2 linked regions of the Oryctolagus cuniculus genome follow. The protein of the gene in region 1 purifies or fractionates together with the protein of each later gene. This does not show direct contact. Links are inferred from orthologs where the notes say so. Each region holds a gene or a part of one and is shown in the gene's direction. Other genes may lie near its edges.

Region 1 (3,500 bases):
TAAAGAACTTTAAAAATTACCTTTCAAGCTGAAACTGTACAAAGTGATTTTAATAATTCATGGGCGGAAATTATGATTGCTCTATAACCAAAACACTAAAAGCTAATTTATTGTTGGTTTTAAGTTTCTTGTAAATATATATAACATTTAATTTTCAGTACATTGTACTAAATAAATGTTAATCTTATGAATTTTTTCATTTCATTTTACTATTTAAAACTATAAGACTTGATAGATTATGATGTAGGTAATTATATAATGGAAGTGATAAAATATTATGTCACTCTTAAAATATCAGAGTACATGTTTCAATAACAGTTAAAAAGCAGATTCATATTAGCAATATGACATCTATTTTTAATGCAAAATATAAATTTTGCTAGAAAATACATCACAACACTAATAATGCTTTTCTCTGAGGCTTGGTATGTCTTTTCCAAAACTCTTGTTGTATGTCTGTATTGGTCATTTTTTCTCTATTAAGTAAATAATCGGAAAAATAAGTTAAATACTTAAAAATAAAACTCTTTGTATTCTTAATGCTTCTAAGTATTTTTTAAAATTAGGGAATAATTAGCGAACTCTGACCTTTAGAGAGTAATTAAAATTTGTATTTCTAAATGAATCATCTACTTTAAAATATTTGATGAATATTATATATATATATTTTTTTTATTTTTGACAGGCAGAGTGGACAGTGAGAGAGAGACAGAGAGAAAGGTCTTCCTTTGCCGTTGGTTCACCCTCCAATGGCCGCCGCGGCCGGCGCGCTGCGGCCGGCGCACTGCGCTGATCCGATGGCAGGAGCCAGGAGCCAGGTGCTTTTCCTGGTCTCCCATGGGGTGCAGGGCCCAAGCACCTGGGCCATCCTCCACTGCACTCCCTGGCCACAGCAGAGGGCTGACTTGGAAGAGGGACAACCAGGACAGAATCCGGCGCCCCGACCGGGACTAGAACCCAGTGTGCCGGCGCCGCTAGGCGGAGGATTAGCCTAGTGAGCCGCGGCGCCGGCCTGATGAATATTATATTTGATAAATATGTTCTAAAAATTAAGATGGAATTTTTTCTAGTTTCAAAGGTATTTCTCTAAGGATTTTAGCATGATGGATATTGTTTCTCTTGGATTTTCACCTTGAGTTGTGTTTATTATAAGTAATATTTTCTGCTTATGATAATATAAACAAATGTTTTCAAGTTTTTCCTGTAGTAGAAGGCTTTTTTTCCCTCTTAGATATGTGTCATTTTTAAGTTAAAACTTTTTCAGACTTTTAAATTGTACCTTTGTGTGTGAGTAAATTTTTTTAATAATAAAAAATTAGATATTTTTGATTTATTTTAATGTTAAAATTAACGACTTTAGGAATTGTGTTCAAGCTTATGCAAATAAATGCTGAAAAATAAACTTTCTAATAGTCTTGGTTTCATAACCAGTGATCATTTTGTTTGACTCTGTATATTAACTGGAACTATTAAAAAGTCAAGTGAATTTAACAAAAAGAAGTCAAATGAGTTTTTTGAAACACAGTGAAGAAAATAAATTACAAGATTTAATATACCATTTTCACTTAATTGAGTGCAACTATCATATTTAAAATTTTTTCTGAATGTCCTGTTTTTCAGTTAATTAACATAACATTTAAATTTTATCTGTGAAAATTTAAAATTTCTCTAAGGCAAATTATATTATTCTTTTTTTAAAAAAATTATTCTATTTGAAAATCAGTTACAGTAGGAGAGGGAGAGACACAGAGAGATCTTCCATCTACAGTCTCACTCTCAAAATAGCCACAACCACCAAGACTGAGCCCAGCAAAAGCCAGGATCTTTCTCTCGGTGCCCCAGAGAAGTGCAGGAGCCCAGGTACTTGGATCATCTTCAGCTGCTTTCTCAGGCATGTTACCAGGGAACCAGACTGGAAGTGGAGCAGCTGTAATTGGAACCCAGTGCCCATGTGGATGCCTGCATCTTTACCAGCTGCACTACAGCACCAGCCCCATTATATTTTCTCGAGATAATTCTGTCAACTTAATTCAATTAAGTTTGTTAAATAATTTTTTATTCATATAGTACTGTATTTAATGGTGATTAAATGTGTGTAAGATTTGAATTTACTTAAAAATGATTTTGTGTAAAGAATCACTTTTTACCCAAATATTTATTTAATTGGCCCAAACAGTAATTACTGTTACTGAAAGGAATTTTGATTGCTATTATATTGTTTATCCCAAAGGTTGCACAGTGAATTAAAGGATGCCATTGAAAAGCAATTGGAGGCCCTTCCCTTTGCTGCAGAGATAGGAAATGACATATATAAAGATGAGGAAACAGTCAAGAACCTTCAAGAACAATTGCAACTAGCCAATCAAGTGAGTGATATATGTATTTTTAAAATACATACTGTATTAGCAGAGCTTTTAAAAATCTGTTAGTCTTTATGTATGATAACAATAACAAAATTGTTAACACTTAGATTTTCTTGTATTTCAAGAATTGTAACATAACAAAACCTATATTGAATACCCTCACTGTTTATTATAAATGTATTTGTGAAATATACATTTTAAGTCAATCATAAAGCTTTTAATGTGATTTTTTCTTATAAGAATAGTTTACTGTCAAAGGAAAATTTTAAAGAAAAAATTATCAATTAACCCATGTCCATAAATTCATATTTTTAATTTTTCTTTGTTTGCTTCTAGTGCTGTTTTCTTCAGTTTTCAAAAGTTATACTATTATGTTTTTCTGAGTTGTATGCTTTTTTCTAGAATTAGTCTTTTTTTTTCCCCTCTTAGTATTTGAAATCTTTGGGAAGCTGTGTTATGTATAACACAGTTTTCAACACTACAATTTTCTGTGATTTGATAAATAAGGTGATTTGATTTTATTGAACTTTTTTTATATCTTTATATACAGAATAGCTCATTATCTGGCATGGGTTTGAATCCACATTTTACTTTCTAGGTGTTTCTAGAAAAATCTCTATATGCCTTAGTTTTCTCATTTGTAAATGAAGATTAGAATTATTATTAAAGGATATATGAAAAGTTACAGTTTTATTTCTTACAAATTTGGTTTTAGAATTCTTTACTTATGAAAGTGATATTTTAGGTGAATTATAAGGACTATATTTAGCTTGATAAGCAACATGTATTAAACACTAAATTTAAAAAGAACACATGTAAATGGAAGGAGTTTAACAATGTAAATGAGAGGGTGGACGTTTGGCCTAGCAGTTAAGATAGCAGGTAAGACACCCTCCTCCCATATCGGAGTACCTGAATTCAGTTCCCACCTCCAGTTCCTGTTCCAGCATTTTGCTGATTCAGATCCTGGAAAGCGGATGTGATGGTTCAAGTAGTTGTATCCCTACCATTCATGTGAGACTTGGATTGAATTCTCAGTTCCCAGTTTCTGTTCTACCTCAGCCCTGGATATTGCAGGATTTGAGGAGTAGCCAATAGTTGGGAACCTTACTCTCTCAATTTCTCTCTCTCTCTCTG
Region 2 (3,500 bases), on another chromosome or scaffold:
CTCAATCCATGTCTCTCACGTGGGTGACAAGGGTCCACATACTTGGACCAGCCTCTGCTGCTTTCCCAAGTGCATTAGCAGGGAGCTGGATTGGAAGTGGAGCAGCGGGATTTGATCCCACGCTCCCATGGGAGGCTGGCATTCCGGGCAGCAGCTTAACCTGCTGCTCCACAATGCTGTTCCTCTTTTATCCTTTTTAATATGTTCAGACCTCAACTGAGGAAAGAATTGTAAAGCAAAGATTCTGTGTTTAGATTTTGAACTGTATTTTCCCATTGAAAGAATTTTGGTTAAATGATGTTTCCATTTAAGATTATGTTAGCGAAAGACATTTATTTAACCTATAATGTAGCTATCAGAGTAACTTTTGGGATTTTTTTTTATAGAAAAAAATATGAAAGGAAGCAAATGAGTAATTCAGAGCTCATGCAGAGACAGTGTGGCTGGCGGCTTTTCCTCAGGAGGCGTGCCCGAGAGCCCCTTCTGCTGGAGTCCTCATCCCTGTTTCAGTCCTTCTCCCAGATACTGTGTGATTTCTCTTTGGACCATTCACTGGTGTTAGAGTCACACTTTGGCGTCCCTTAGGTGGGACTGAAGCGTCCTAGTGGAGCGCTCTGTGATTGAACCTGCCAGGGATCTCCCGTGGGGCGGTTTCACCTGCCACTTGATGTTGGCTGCTGCTGGCCCCTCTGCTGCAGTTTTCCTTGCTGCTTGTCGAGGCTGGGGTGGATGGGATAAGACAGGCTTTCTCCTCTGCCAGCATCACCTCGTCATCACAGATGTTTATCGGTGACGGCTTCTGGGAAACAGAGTCGGTAATAAATAATGACAACTTTACAAAGTTATAAAAAGAATTTCCCCAACATTCGAAGTGATAGAGTTAGTAGACATAGACCCAGCTTCATTACATGTACGTAAGGCCAACATTGCCTGTCAAAGAGCCTTTGCTAACATCCGCTTGTCTGACTGAGAACACCTGGGAAGCTCCATGTCCAGGCATGTTGGGGCCCCAGATGCCACTGACTCTGGGAGATCGGGCCATGTTGTCTGCACAAGCTTGGTTACTGCCTGTGCTTCCCCCGAAGGCAGAGGCTTGCTCACCACGGTGATCTCCAGGTTGAGAGCAGCCTCTTGCTCATCTTAGGTGCTTAAGAAAGATTTGCCGAAGGAACAAACCTACTTCCCAGCCTTCTCCTACTGTGTCTCCTTATTGACTTGGATCATCTCGTACTGTTGCTTCATATTAGAGTCTGTTTTGATTTTTAGACTTCCTTGATGACTGGTGAGTATTTCCATGGCATTGTTTCCAATGCATCTGGTGTTTTTTAGCTTCCTAGAGAGACTGGAGAGGCATTTTTCACAAAGCCCAAAGATATGATTTTGAAAGAGGTCATGGTCTAAATCTGACTGCTTATAGTTACATAATCAGTTACAAAGTGTTTTCTTTCTGTATGGTAGTGAGAAGAAGAGATTGGACCTGGAAAAGAAACTATATGAATATAATCAGTCTGATAGCTGCAGGTAAGATATGACGATGGTGACAGTTTTTGTATATATATCAGTCACATATTTAAGCCCTAATAGTGTGGTTGGAGTTCTTTTATAATTCTCTTACTTCCAATGTGTAATAATTTAAAGTAAACCCTGTAATTTAATATAATTGTCAAATTAATAATGAATTTAGTTAAAATTAGTATGGGATAAATATTTTCATTATTTAGTATTTGTTATTTCACAGGTAATATTCCAGATACTTTGCTTAAATATCTTAAAATAAGATACATATATATACATTTATATATAGAGAGAAAGAGTGAAAGAGAAGGGAGGGGCAGTGCTGTGGTGTAGTGGACTATGCGTATGCCTATGGCACCAGCATCACATACGGGCATTGGGCATTGGTTTTAGTCCTGGCTGCTCCCCTTCCAATCCAGCTCTCAGCTGGGCCTGGGAAGGCAGTGGAAGATGGCCCAAGTTCTTGGGCCCCTGCATCCACATGGGAGACCCAGAAGAAGCTCCTGGCTCCTGGCTTCAGGTCAACCCAGCCCTGGCTGTTGTGGCCATTTGGAGAGTGAACCAGCAGATGGAAGACCTCTCTCTCTGTCTCTTCCTTCCTGTCTATAACTCTAGCTCTCAAATAAATAAATAAATCTTTTTTAAAAAAAGATATATAAATTATAGTTTTGTCCTTTTGGTCACAATTTAAACACATTAACCTTGTGCAGTGATTAAGTTATAATTACTCTCATTGATGTTTTAGTAAACTGATGTAGGCAAGATTACTTGTCTCATTTGTTTATGAGTATATGAGAATGATTATTAAAACTGTTATAAACAGTGCATAATATACATGTATATTTCTAGTTTATTTAATATTAAGAGTAGATTTTTAACTTTTTTTAAAGATTCATATTTATTTATTTGAAAGTCAGAACTACAGGGAGAGAAGGAGAGATAGAGGGAGAGGAAAAGAGATCTCCCATCTGGTGGTTCAGTCCCTAGATGGTTGCAACAGACAGGGCTGAGCAGCCCAAAACCAGGAGCCAAGAGCTTCTTCCAGGTGTTCCATGTGGGTGCAGGGACCCAAGCACCTGGGCCATCTTCCTAGATTCATTAACAGGGAGCTGGTCGGAAGTGGAGCAGCCAGGACACAAACTGGCACCCATTTGGGATGCTGGTGTTGCAGGCAGCAGCTTTACCTGCCATGCCACAGTGCCAGTCCTAACTCTGCTCTTGATATCACAGTTAATTTAGAGAAATAAATCCATGTACATCTTTACTGTGTGAACATTCTAATATGGTCTTGTCTACGCTTCTCAGGAGAGTTATGCCTAGATGTGACCACTATGACACCACAGTGATTGGGCGTTAATTTTCTCTAAAAAGGTCTATACATTCTATCCGTTAGCTTTCAATGCTTTGAGTAGAATATCTTAGGAAACATTGAGTCTCTAACAGCTTTGTGAAAGAAATTCTTTTCCTTAGCTTTGTCAGACTTTAACTCCATTGTTTAAAAATCCGCTTTTATTTCCCCAGGGAGAAGCTGAAGTATGTGAAACTAAAGAAATACCTCAAGGAAATATGCGAAGCTGAGCGGAGGGCTCAGACTCGAAACAAAGAGTATCTAAAGCAGTGTGAACGTGTGCAAGCTCATGTTGGACAGTTTACCACAAACACAAAGAAGCTCCAAGACCTGAAGGTGACAGTTTATTTTGCGTATGTGGTTTTTGAAAAATTTTTTTTGCTAAATTCATCATGAATAGTAAGTTTCCAATCAGTGACAGCTACTAATATTAATAAATATTAAAAACAACTTTCTGTGAATTACCATGTGGCCAGTTTGATCAAAGAACTTGAAACTGTATTTTTTAAAAAAGATTTATTTATTGCAGCTGGGGTCATGGCATAGCAGGTGAATCTGACGACTGTGATACTGGCATTTCATGTGGGCACTGGTTCATGTCCCAGCTGCTTCACTTCTGATCCAACTCCCAACTAAT

The links.
Region 2: the proteins of SCLT1 (region 1) and KIZ purify together in Homo sapiens (co-immunoprecipitation; 3 studies listed by BioGRID and IntAct, counting the BioPlex papers as one, with this or other methods). This does not show direct contact. The link is inferred for Oryctolagus cuniculus from reciprocal best matches to the Homo sapiens genes SCLT1 and KIZ.

The regions. Positions count from the first base shown.
Region 1 is NC_091439.1:35,687,914-35,691,413, forward strand, and holds part of SCLT1 (sodium channel and clathrin linker 1), read left to right. Parts: intron 1-2,230; coding exon 2,231-2,366; intron 2,367-3,500. UniProt on the Homo sapiens protein: Adapter protein that links SCN10A to clathrin. Regulates SCN10A channel activity, possibly by promoting channel internalization.
Region 2 is NC_091442.1:45,686,140-45,689,639, forward strand, and holds part of KIZ (centrosomal protein kizuna), read left to right. Parts: intron 1-1,458; coding exon 1,459-1,521; intron 1,522-3,036; coding exon 3,037-3,199; intron 3,200-3,500. UniProt on the Homo sapiens protein: Centrosomal protein required for establishing a robust mitotic centrosome architecture that can endure the forces that converge on the centrosomes during spindle formation. Required for stabilizing the expanded pericentriolar material around the centriole.